2 linked regions of the Arabidopsis thaliana genome follow. The protein of the gene in region 1 interacts with the protein of each later gene in a pairwise test. Each region holds a gene or a part of one and is shown in the gene's direction. Other genes may lie near its edges. The genes, in order: XCP2 and AT1G65150.

Evidence for each region.
Region 2: the proteins of XCP2 (region 1) and AT1G65150 interact in a two-hybrid assay, tested with the Arabidopsis thaliana proteins (one large-scale study listed by BioGRID).

What each region holds. Positions count from the first base shown.
Region 1 is NC_003070.9:7,250,474-7,254,565, forward strand, and holds XCP2 (xylem cysteine peptidase 2), read left to right. Parts: upstream 1-1,637; 5' UTR 1,638-1,734; coding exon 1,735-2,212; intron 2,213-2,298; coding exon 2,299-2,534; intron 2,535-2,616; coding exon 2,617-2,757; intron 2,758-2,848; coding exon 2,849-3,064; 3' UTR 3,065-3,274; downstream 3,275-4,092. Other genes in the region: PHT1;8 (phosphate transporter 1;8), read right to left, coding at 3,534-4,092. UniProt on the Arabidopsis thaliana protein: Cysteine protease involved in xylem tracheary element (TE) autolysis during xylogenesis in roots. Participates in micro autolysis within the intact central vacuole before mega autolysis is initiated by tonoplast implosion.
Region 2 is NC_003070.9:24,203,153-24,207,917, reverse strand, and holds AT1G65150 (TRAF-like family protein), read left to right. Parts: upstream 1-2,087; 5' UTR 2,088-2,224; intron 2,225-2,346; exon of another isoform or gene 2,347-2,354; 5' UTR 2,355-2,359; coding exon 2,360-2,496; intron 2,497-2,677; coding exon 2,678-2,841; intron 2,842-2,916; coding exon 2,917-3,184; intron 3,185-3,267; coding exon 3,268-3,431; intron 3,432-3,593; coding exon 3,594-3,751; 3' UTR 3,752-4,077; downstream 4,078-4,765. Other genes in the region: AT1G65165 (inactive ubiquitin carboxyl-terminal hydrolase-like protein), read right to left, coding at 152-172, 258-332, 416-496, 580-716, 815-908; AT1G65160 (ubiquitin carboxyl-terminal hydrolase family protein), read right to left, coding at 931-956, 1,025-1,211, 1,296-1,391, 1,474-1,561, 1,645-1,694; AT1G65140 (Ubiquitin carboxyl-terminal hydrolase family protein), read right to left, coding at 4,692-4,739.

The sequences.
Region 1 (4,092 bases):
AATTTGCGGCTAAAAAATATTATAGATTTTGGAAGGAAATTACAAAGATTACTATACAATAATAACAATAAAACTACTATTTAAAACAAAAATTAAAAATTAAGAGACAGATGGGGTTTGATGCAATAGGAGACGAACATGGCGTCAATGAGAGGGCATGTGATTTATAATATTAGTGCTTTGTCACTTTCTCACGTACCTTTTTATGCCCTACCAATTACTTCTCCTCTACTAGTATTTTTTATATTAATTACAACACAATCAATTTTAGAAAAATGCAACATTGATAGCATATACGTATAGTTTTCTAATTCTGTGACAAGTTGATGATTTTCTTTTCTCAGCACAAGGCTATTTGAGAATATATAAAAATATCTAACGTCCTCTTCATATTTATTAACGCTGGAATGAGATTTTATGTGAAAAAAGAAAACTTTGGATAGATATTACATATGTACGAGTACGACCTAGAAAAATATGACAATGGTCTTTTTCTTGATAGAGTTCGTGCTCCCAAATCATTTGAGCATTTCCGACCACGTGGCTCCACCTCAAACGGATCTTATGATATGTTTTATTATCATTTTATTTTCATTCTTATATATTTTGTTGATTTTTTCCCTGCATAAGAAATAACAATCATTTATTTCTTTTTGTACAAGCAGTCAAGTAGATGTCCTGTAAAGTTAGAACCAGTGAGTTTTCAACTGTAACTTTAACATGATTCATGTTTTAAATGAATCCACTTTATGAAAAATATGGTGTTAATTTAGATCATACTTCGTAGTGGTTGGTGGGTCATCATTATAAAAATCAAGTTTTTACGTATTAGGTTCTTAAATTTTATATATCTTATTCAACAATTAGCTGATTAAAAACTAAGTAAAACGAAGATCCTTATCCTCCTGACATTGTTATCAGAAATCTTGGTGGATTGACAGGTCAAACTTTGTTCTTTACAGAATAAATATCTTATAAAAAAAAACAGAAATATACTTCACCGTAATCTCATGTTTTGTGAATTTTATATTGTCTCATTAAGAATTATGTTTAAACAATTTAGAACAGTGAACAAAAGAAGAGCTAATTATAATCAACTAAACTTCAACATTCATTCATACCATAAAAGGTTAGTGATTATGGGCCGCAAATCCATGATTTGTATATTGTTCAATTAAGATTGGTGATCAAAACATTTTTCATCAGTTAATTACATAGTTGGCCCACTTTTGGGCTTTCTTATTGTTGAGGTTGGCATTTTATCATTGAGGCCTTCCTTAAATGATTACCTCTGACCGAGACAGAGGTTTCTAGTTCTGCACATAATTAAACAAACCATATACCGCAGGGCCGGCTCAGAATAATAAAGGACCTAGAGCTGGAAAAAAAAATTAGTTCTCATTTTTGTGTTTTGTTATATATCAAAATTTTTGGACCCTAACTATAATAGATTTACTTTTAAAAAAAAAGAAATTTTGGGTAGACCCTGTGCCTCAGCTCCTCCAGCACATGTGTAAAGCCGGCCTGCATATACGATTAGTACTTGGAGTCAAAGTAACCTCATGGAAAGACAAAACTAAGCTTAAAGACACAGACTTTACACAAGTTACAGATTCAGACTACTTTACTCTAAAGCAAAAAGAGCGACCTCTATCGAGTCTCCAGCCTATATAAACAGGCTCTTCTCTTCCATTTCCTCTTATCAAGTGACAAAAGAAAAACAAACGTACTCAAATGGCTCTTTCTTCACCTTCAAGAATCCTCTGTTTTGCTCTTGCCTTATCCGCTGCTTCTCTCTCCCTCTCTTTCGCTTCTTCCCACGATTACTCCATCGTTGGATACTCCCCCGAGGATTTGGAATCTCATGACAAACTCATAGAACTCTTCGAAAACTGGATCTCAAATTTTGAGAAAGCTTATGAAACCGTTGAAGAGAAGTTTCTTAGGTTCGAAGTTTTCAAGGATAATCTAAAGCACATCGATGAGACTAACAAGAAAGGGAAAAGCTACTGGCTCGGGCTCAACGAGTTTGCGGATTTGAGCCATGAGGAGTTCAAGAAAATGTATTTAGGGCTCAAGACTGATATAGTGAGACGCGATGAAGAAAGATCTTACGCAGAGTTCGCTTACAGGGACGTCGAAGCTGTTCCTAAGTCTGTTGACTGGAGAAAGAAAGGAGCTGTGGCGGAAGTTAAGAACCAGGGCTCTTGTGGTAATATCAAATCTTGGTCTCTGATCTGTTAATGGAAGTTTTGACTCTTAACTAAACCATTTAACTTTAAAAAACTTGTTTCGCAGGAAGTTGTTGGGCGTTTTCGACAGTAGCAGCTGTCGAAGGTATAAACAAGATTGTGACAGGAAACTTGACAACATTGTCAGAACAAGAACTCATAGACTGTGACACGACCTACAACAATGGCTGCAACGGTGGTCTCATGGACTATGCCTTTGAGTACATTGTTAAGAACGGAGGTCTACGCAAGGAAGAAGATTATCCTTACTCTATGGAAGAAGGAACTTGCGAGATGCAAAAGGTCCCATTCTAATATCAACTCTTGGTCTCTGATGTGTTAATGAAAGGTGGTCCCATTCTAATTATCTCTGTTTTGAAAACAGGATGAATCTGAAACAGTAACCATTAATGGACACCAAGACGTACCTACTAATGATGAGAAGAGTCTCTTGAAGGCATTGGCTCATCAGCCTCTCAGTGTCGCCATTGATGCATCTGGTAGAGAGTTCCAGTTCTATAGCGGCGTAAGTACATTATAAACCTATAAATAAAGAAAATGGTTGTTAGTTAATTGCTCTTGTTGATGTTGAATCATTTTGTATTTGGTATATGAAGGGCGTGTTTGATGGGCGGTGCGGGGTTGATCTTGACCACGGTGTGGCTGCGGTTGGGTATGGATCAAGCAAGGGTTCAGATTACATCATTGTGAAGAATTCTTGGGGACCAAAATGGGGAGAAAAAGGTTACATCAGGCTGAAGAGGAACACTGGGAAACCAGAGGGTCTCTGTGGAATCAACAAGATGGCTTCTTTCCCCACCAAAACTAAGTGATCATCAGATCATTCTCTCTTATCTGCATTTGATCAGCATCTTACAGTGTCTTCGTTTTTTCTCTTTTGATTTATCAACGGAAGTCTTGTAACAACTATGTGCAATAATACCTATATATAAGAAGCAGAGAATTGACAAATTTCTAGTACCAACCATGAAGAAATTAAAGCAGAGAATATTAAAAATAATGATTATTGAAGAAAAGAACAGAGTATTAATTGAAGAAAAACAAAAAGTTTCTTGGGGAAGAAATAATTGAAAAAAACAGAGCAATCTTTAGATTGAACAGTTTACAGGTTAATAAGCAACTGAAAAAAACAGAGGAAATGTAGATTAAACAGCTTCTTGGGTAAGAAGCAATTGGAAAAAAATACCTCAAAGCAAAATGTAAACAAAATCTAGAAAAGATTAGCAGAAATATACAATTGTATGAACTTGAACTGATCATGTGTTCAATATGTCGAGATCATCATCGTGTCTGAAGCAAAGTGCTCACGGAGGATTGCCCGTCAACAATCTGTGGCTCATCTTCAGACTCAGCATTGTTATCTTGGTCATGCTCGTTCTCCTCTAACGATCTTCCCATAGTTTCCTTGGTGAAGAAATACGTCACCAAGATTCCAGCAATGCAAACGCCACCAAGAATCAAGAAAGCAATTCTCATACGGTTTACTTCGGGATAAATCTGGTTTTTATCATCGCTTTCCATCTTCTTGGTAGCCCACAAGAACCCAACAGTGCCCACAATAGCCCCAAGCTTACCCGCGGCACCAGAGATCCCGTGACAAGTAGACCTAAACCTAGCCGGGAAATGCTCTGCGGGAATAATAAAAGTTGTAGTGTTGGGACCAAAATTGCAAAAGAAGAAAACCAAACCGTAGAGAACCATGAAGCCTTTATTATTATGCTCGTGCTTTGACCAATACCAACTGTACGGAATACCAGCGACTAAATAAATAACGGCCATGAAGAAAAACCCCATAATCTGGATTTTGACACGACCTATCTTGTCGATGAAGTAAACTGTG
Region 2 (4,765 bases), about 17 Mb from region 1:
TTTGGGCTAAAACATATACAAAATCTGTCCACAATAGTGTAACACCAACAAGGCATCAATCTGATTCCTATAAAGTTTTTGACTTCAGACTCAAGCACTTTTATGTCTATACATCAATCTGATTCCTATGCCATTGAAAAAGCTTTTCTATTTATTGCTCCCTTTGCATAACCTGCAATTCAAAGTAGGTGGAATTGAGAGAAAACACACATAATAAAAGCAAAACATGAGCAAGTACGCAGTCGAAAGGGCCTTACGTTTTCGAAAAACAGAATCTGTGGACGGATATTCTTTAAACAAATGCTGACAACATTCTCCCAGTCTCCAATAACCTGGAGAAGCGACATAGCCTCACTCAGGTAAAGAAGTCACAATTCCACATACAAAAATGTCTAAAAGACTAAAAGCTTTATACCTCTATCTCAGAACGAAGATATCTGACCCATCTATTGTTTTCATAAGCTACACAGTTGTATCGATTTCCATGCAAGCAAACCTGAATGTTAACATTGGAGTTGTTTCTGGTAACATAGTAAAGTTAAATGGAACTGAAACAAATTGTAGGTACTTGGCCCTTACCATTGAGACAAGACGGTACTTGGTATATCGAATGTCACCTTCGCATTGGTATATCACATTAACATCAATCTCAGTCGCCAGAACAGAAACTGTATCGAATATTTCTCCTGCAGTCTCATTCTTTGTCCACTCAAGTGCTAAACAATACGAGAGAAAAAAAATATGCTCAAAACTACTGCATTTTGTTGTGATCTCTACTAACAAATTAACTTAATAGCTTATACCATAGGCTTACCAATTGTGAAAACAGATGGAAGTTTGGTTATCATACGGTGAACATAGCTTTGTTTCCCACATCCTTCCTTATCACAAGGCATCTTTAAGTTCATCTTGATGACCTTAATGATATTCTCAAATGTAAAATCCTTGAATGCAGACTGCAAATAACCAAAACACTTTCACGAGACTGAATTCTACTTTCAATGTATAAGGGAAAAAAAGAGACTTGCCTTGACTTCTCTAAGTGAACTAGCACTGATGATAAGACGAAAAGAACGTTCAGCAGGATATTCCAAATCCAGTTTGCATCTATTGCAAATCTTTTTAGCCACTTCGTATACTTCAAAGTACAAACCCCAGTTAGGCAGAGCCTCCAAGATGTTTAGAAACAGGTCAAAAACACCATTTGCTTCCTAAAGCGTAGAGAACAAGAAAACATCAAGTCTTGAGAAAGAAGTAATTGGTAACATAGATTTTTTAAAGATCAGAGGTTAGACCAGAGGATGCTTGAGACTTAGATCGTTGAGAAGGAACTCATGAAAAACAGATTCATCTTCTCTGGAGCTTGCGAAAACGTTAATGTTCCATATAGACTGCACAAATCCACATTCTTGAAAACTTAAATAAACAAAATCGAGAAAAACAAATTCTTTAGGTTTGTGAAGTTTGCGAAACCTTGAGTATCATAGCAAGAGCTGAAACACAGGTGGCGTTTAGCTTCCCTATAGGTTCCTCTGCATCGTCTTGCGTTAGTGAGAGATCTCTAAACAAAAGATAAGCACCAAGTCGAAAATGTATGAGAAAAGCATAAATATATACTCGGAGGATGAGATTTAAACTACTTACGGATCTATTTCTTCGAGCTTCTCCACTTCTTGAACGTTTGATGGATCCATCTCAATGATCGAAGGCAAAACCTTCTTTCTTTGGCAGATTTTCCCAAGAAAAACAACAATGGAGATTTTCTTTCTGAGTTTTCTCGAGAAAATAAACGGCAGAGAAAGAAAATGGGAAAAGTTGAAGAGAAGACCAAAGGCGATTAGGCGAGGACTTAATAGGGTTAGAGTCTGTTAGTTTGTTTACGTGATCCTCACGTGATATATATTAAGAATTGTGCGCCAAAAATTGTTATGAAGCTTTAATCAACATTACATAGCTCTTCGAGTACATATTATCAAAATCTTAAAACACTTTTTTGGAGATTGAAACGTCAACGTTTTGAAGCAGAAGAAGCTAAAATAAAAAACGAGCCGGGCCAGTCTTGTAGCTTTAGGCCCGTTATATGAAAATAATATCTAAACCCTAGAAAATCTCTTCTTACTTGTTAGTGACGAAGAATCCCTTAAAAGCTCTCTCCTTTTTCAATCTCTCTCTTTGCTTCAAGGTGACGCAGAATTCCGTCAAGGCTCTTTCCATCTCCGTCAAGGTTCGTCGATTTCTTTCTTTAAGCTTTCAACTTCTTTAGTCTCTTAAGAGAATAAAGCACACAAATTTCTATAGATCTCTCTGTTGTTTGGGGAATTCTAAAAAAATCTTCTCTTGTGTAAGTTGTGTAGAGAAAATGGGTTCAAATGCGTCAGATCCTGCAGTGTTGAAGACTTGGAGAAGGAATCCTCCTTCCTCTACTCTTGTCAGACTTTCTCAGCTTGCTAACGAGAAATACGAGTCCCCTCCTTTCTCTTCTGGTGCACACAACTGGTATGTGATCTTGTTCTATACTTCAAGTTCTCATCTTTCTTCGCTAAAAAGTTCACATTTTTCTTCACTAAAGTTCTCATCTTTCTTTGCTAAAGTTCACATTTTTCTTCACTAAAGTTCCCATCTTTCTTCACTGTATACATATATAAGTAAGAAATGTTGTCCTTTTTGTAAAAATCAGGAGATTGGTTGTTCACCCAAAAGGAAACGAAGCGGACAATGGAAGTGGGTTTGTGTCTATGTATGTGGAATGCCTCTCATCGACAACACCACCCATTGATGTGTTTGCCTATCTCACTTTCTTTGTCTTCAGCGAGGAAGAGAAGAAGTACCTCTCTTTTCAAGGTTCGTATGCTCTTATCTCTCTCTTTCTCTGTGTATATATAAGAATGAAGCTCTAATATGTGTTTATACATGTAGATGTTGAAGTGAAGCGTTTCAATTCTTCAAAAACGGTTTGGGGATTGTCAAAAGCTCTTCCGGTTGAAACACTCAAAGACCGTGCAAAGGGATTTATCTTGTACGGTGAAGAACATGAGTTCGGTGCTCATGTGAAGATTGTTTCACGACCCGCCTCTTTTGGTGAAGATCTCCCTTTTCACAAATTCTCTTGGACTATTCGTGATTTCGCTCTTCTGGAACAGAATGATTACGTATCCAAAACCTTTCACATGGGAGAAAAGGATTGGTGAGTTTTTTCTTTCTGATAGATATTGTTGTATGTGTGCATTAGTGGTAACTTGCTAACAAGTGGATGGTTATGTTTCAAAGGACTCTAAAGTTGTATCCAAAGGGGGACTCTGAGGCAGATGACAAGTTAATTCAGCATTTGCATTTAGCTGACGGTGAAACTTTAGCCAAGGGTGAGCTGATTTTCGTGCGAGTAAACCTGAAGGTTCTAGACCCGCGTGGATCCAATCACCTAACAGGAAGCCGTAAGTCAAAAACTATTTGATGTTACTATTTGTCAATGGTTATTGTCAAAGCTGATGACATTTTCAATAGGCGTTCTTAATTTAAAATGTCAAATGTCCTACTCCTTTGACTATAAACTAGTGGTATTAAGTTTATAACTAATGTATTGCTTGTTTCTGTAGTTAACTGTTGGCTCATGAACTCGAACAAAGCGTGGGGTCTTCCTCAATCCATGTCTTTCGATAAAAATGAGGGGGCTTACTTGGATCGTGAAGGGACTTTGGAGGTAGAGATTGAATGTGAAATTAAAAACTCCCATAAAAACCATCCCTTCTTTTAGGATATCAACCATGTCAGGTCTACTACTCTAGAGTCTGGGACTACTCTGTTTTAAGCGTAAAAACTGAATGTGAAGTTAACGCTCTATCTATGTTTAGGATATCTATGTATCTACCATGCCATGTCTACTACTCTATGACTTACCTACTCTGTTTTTAGGATATCTAAATATCTACCATGCCATGTCTACTACTCTATGACTTACCTACTCTGTTTTTAGGATATCTAAATATCTACCATGCATGTCTTGACTATTGTATGTTTGTATGACTTTTGATGCGGTTGTGAATGATCGTAGTTTATTAAAGTTCTTGAAATATTTTTATGATTCAACATTTGCATTCTTTTCTTCTGTTAAGGTAACATCAAAGTTTTTAGAGATGTCACTCAGAAATCAAAAACCATTTTGAATACATTTATTGCTCTCCAGTCAAAAATCAACATCTTTCTCTCTTTATTCACTTTTTGGATCAAACCTACCTAAGCAAAGAAGCAAAGATCCTAGATCAATCCAGAATGTCTCAGCTAGTTACACTAGTCCTGTACTAAACAAGAATGCCATATCATTGTTGAAACCCCCCCAACTATAATGCCTCTCGTCCTCGTCAAAGCATGCAGCCCAATGATGGCAATTTTGAGTTTTATGCGTTTGTTAATGATCTTTTAAGTTATTAAATTTTAGGTTGTGTACATCTTCTACTAAAGCTTCATGTTTAAGAACTTTGCTTTGGTTTATAGGGCTCCCTTCTGCTTCTCTCATGTTCTTCCAACGTTAAAAGGATAGTATCTTTATACAAGTGTTGAACTTGATAAAATGGTATCCAAGTATCTACTATTCAATGATCATAACAATCAAAAGCATTGTTCTATACTTACTCCTATAAAGTTTTTGACTTCTACATCAAATTCCTTTCCTGCACCATTTGAAAAGCTTCTTCTATTCAGTCTTCAGATCCCTGCTCGGAAAACATCTGGTCCTTTAGAATAGCCTGCAATTCAAGTAGGTGGAATTGAG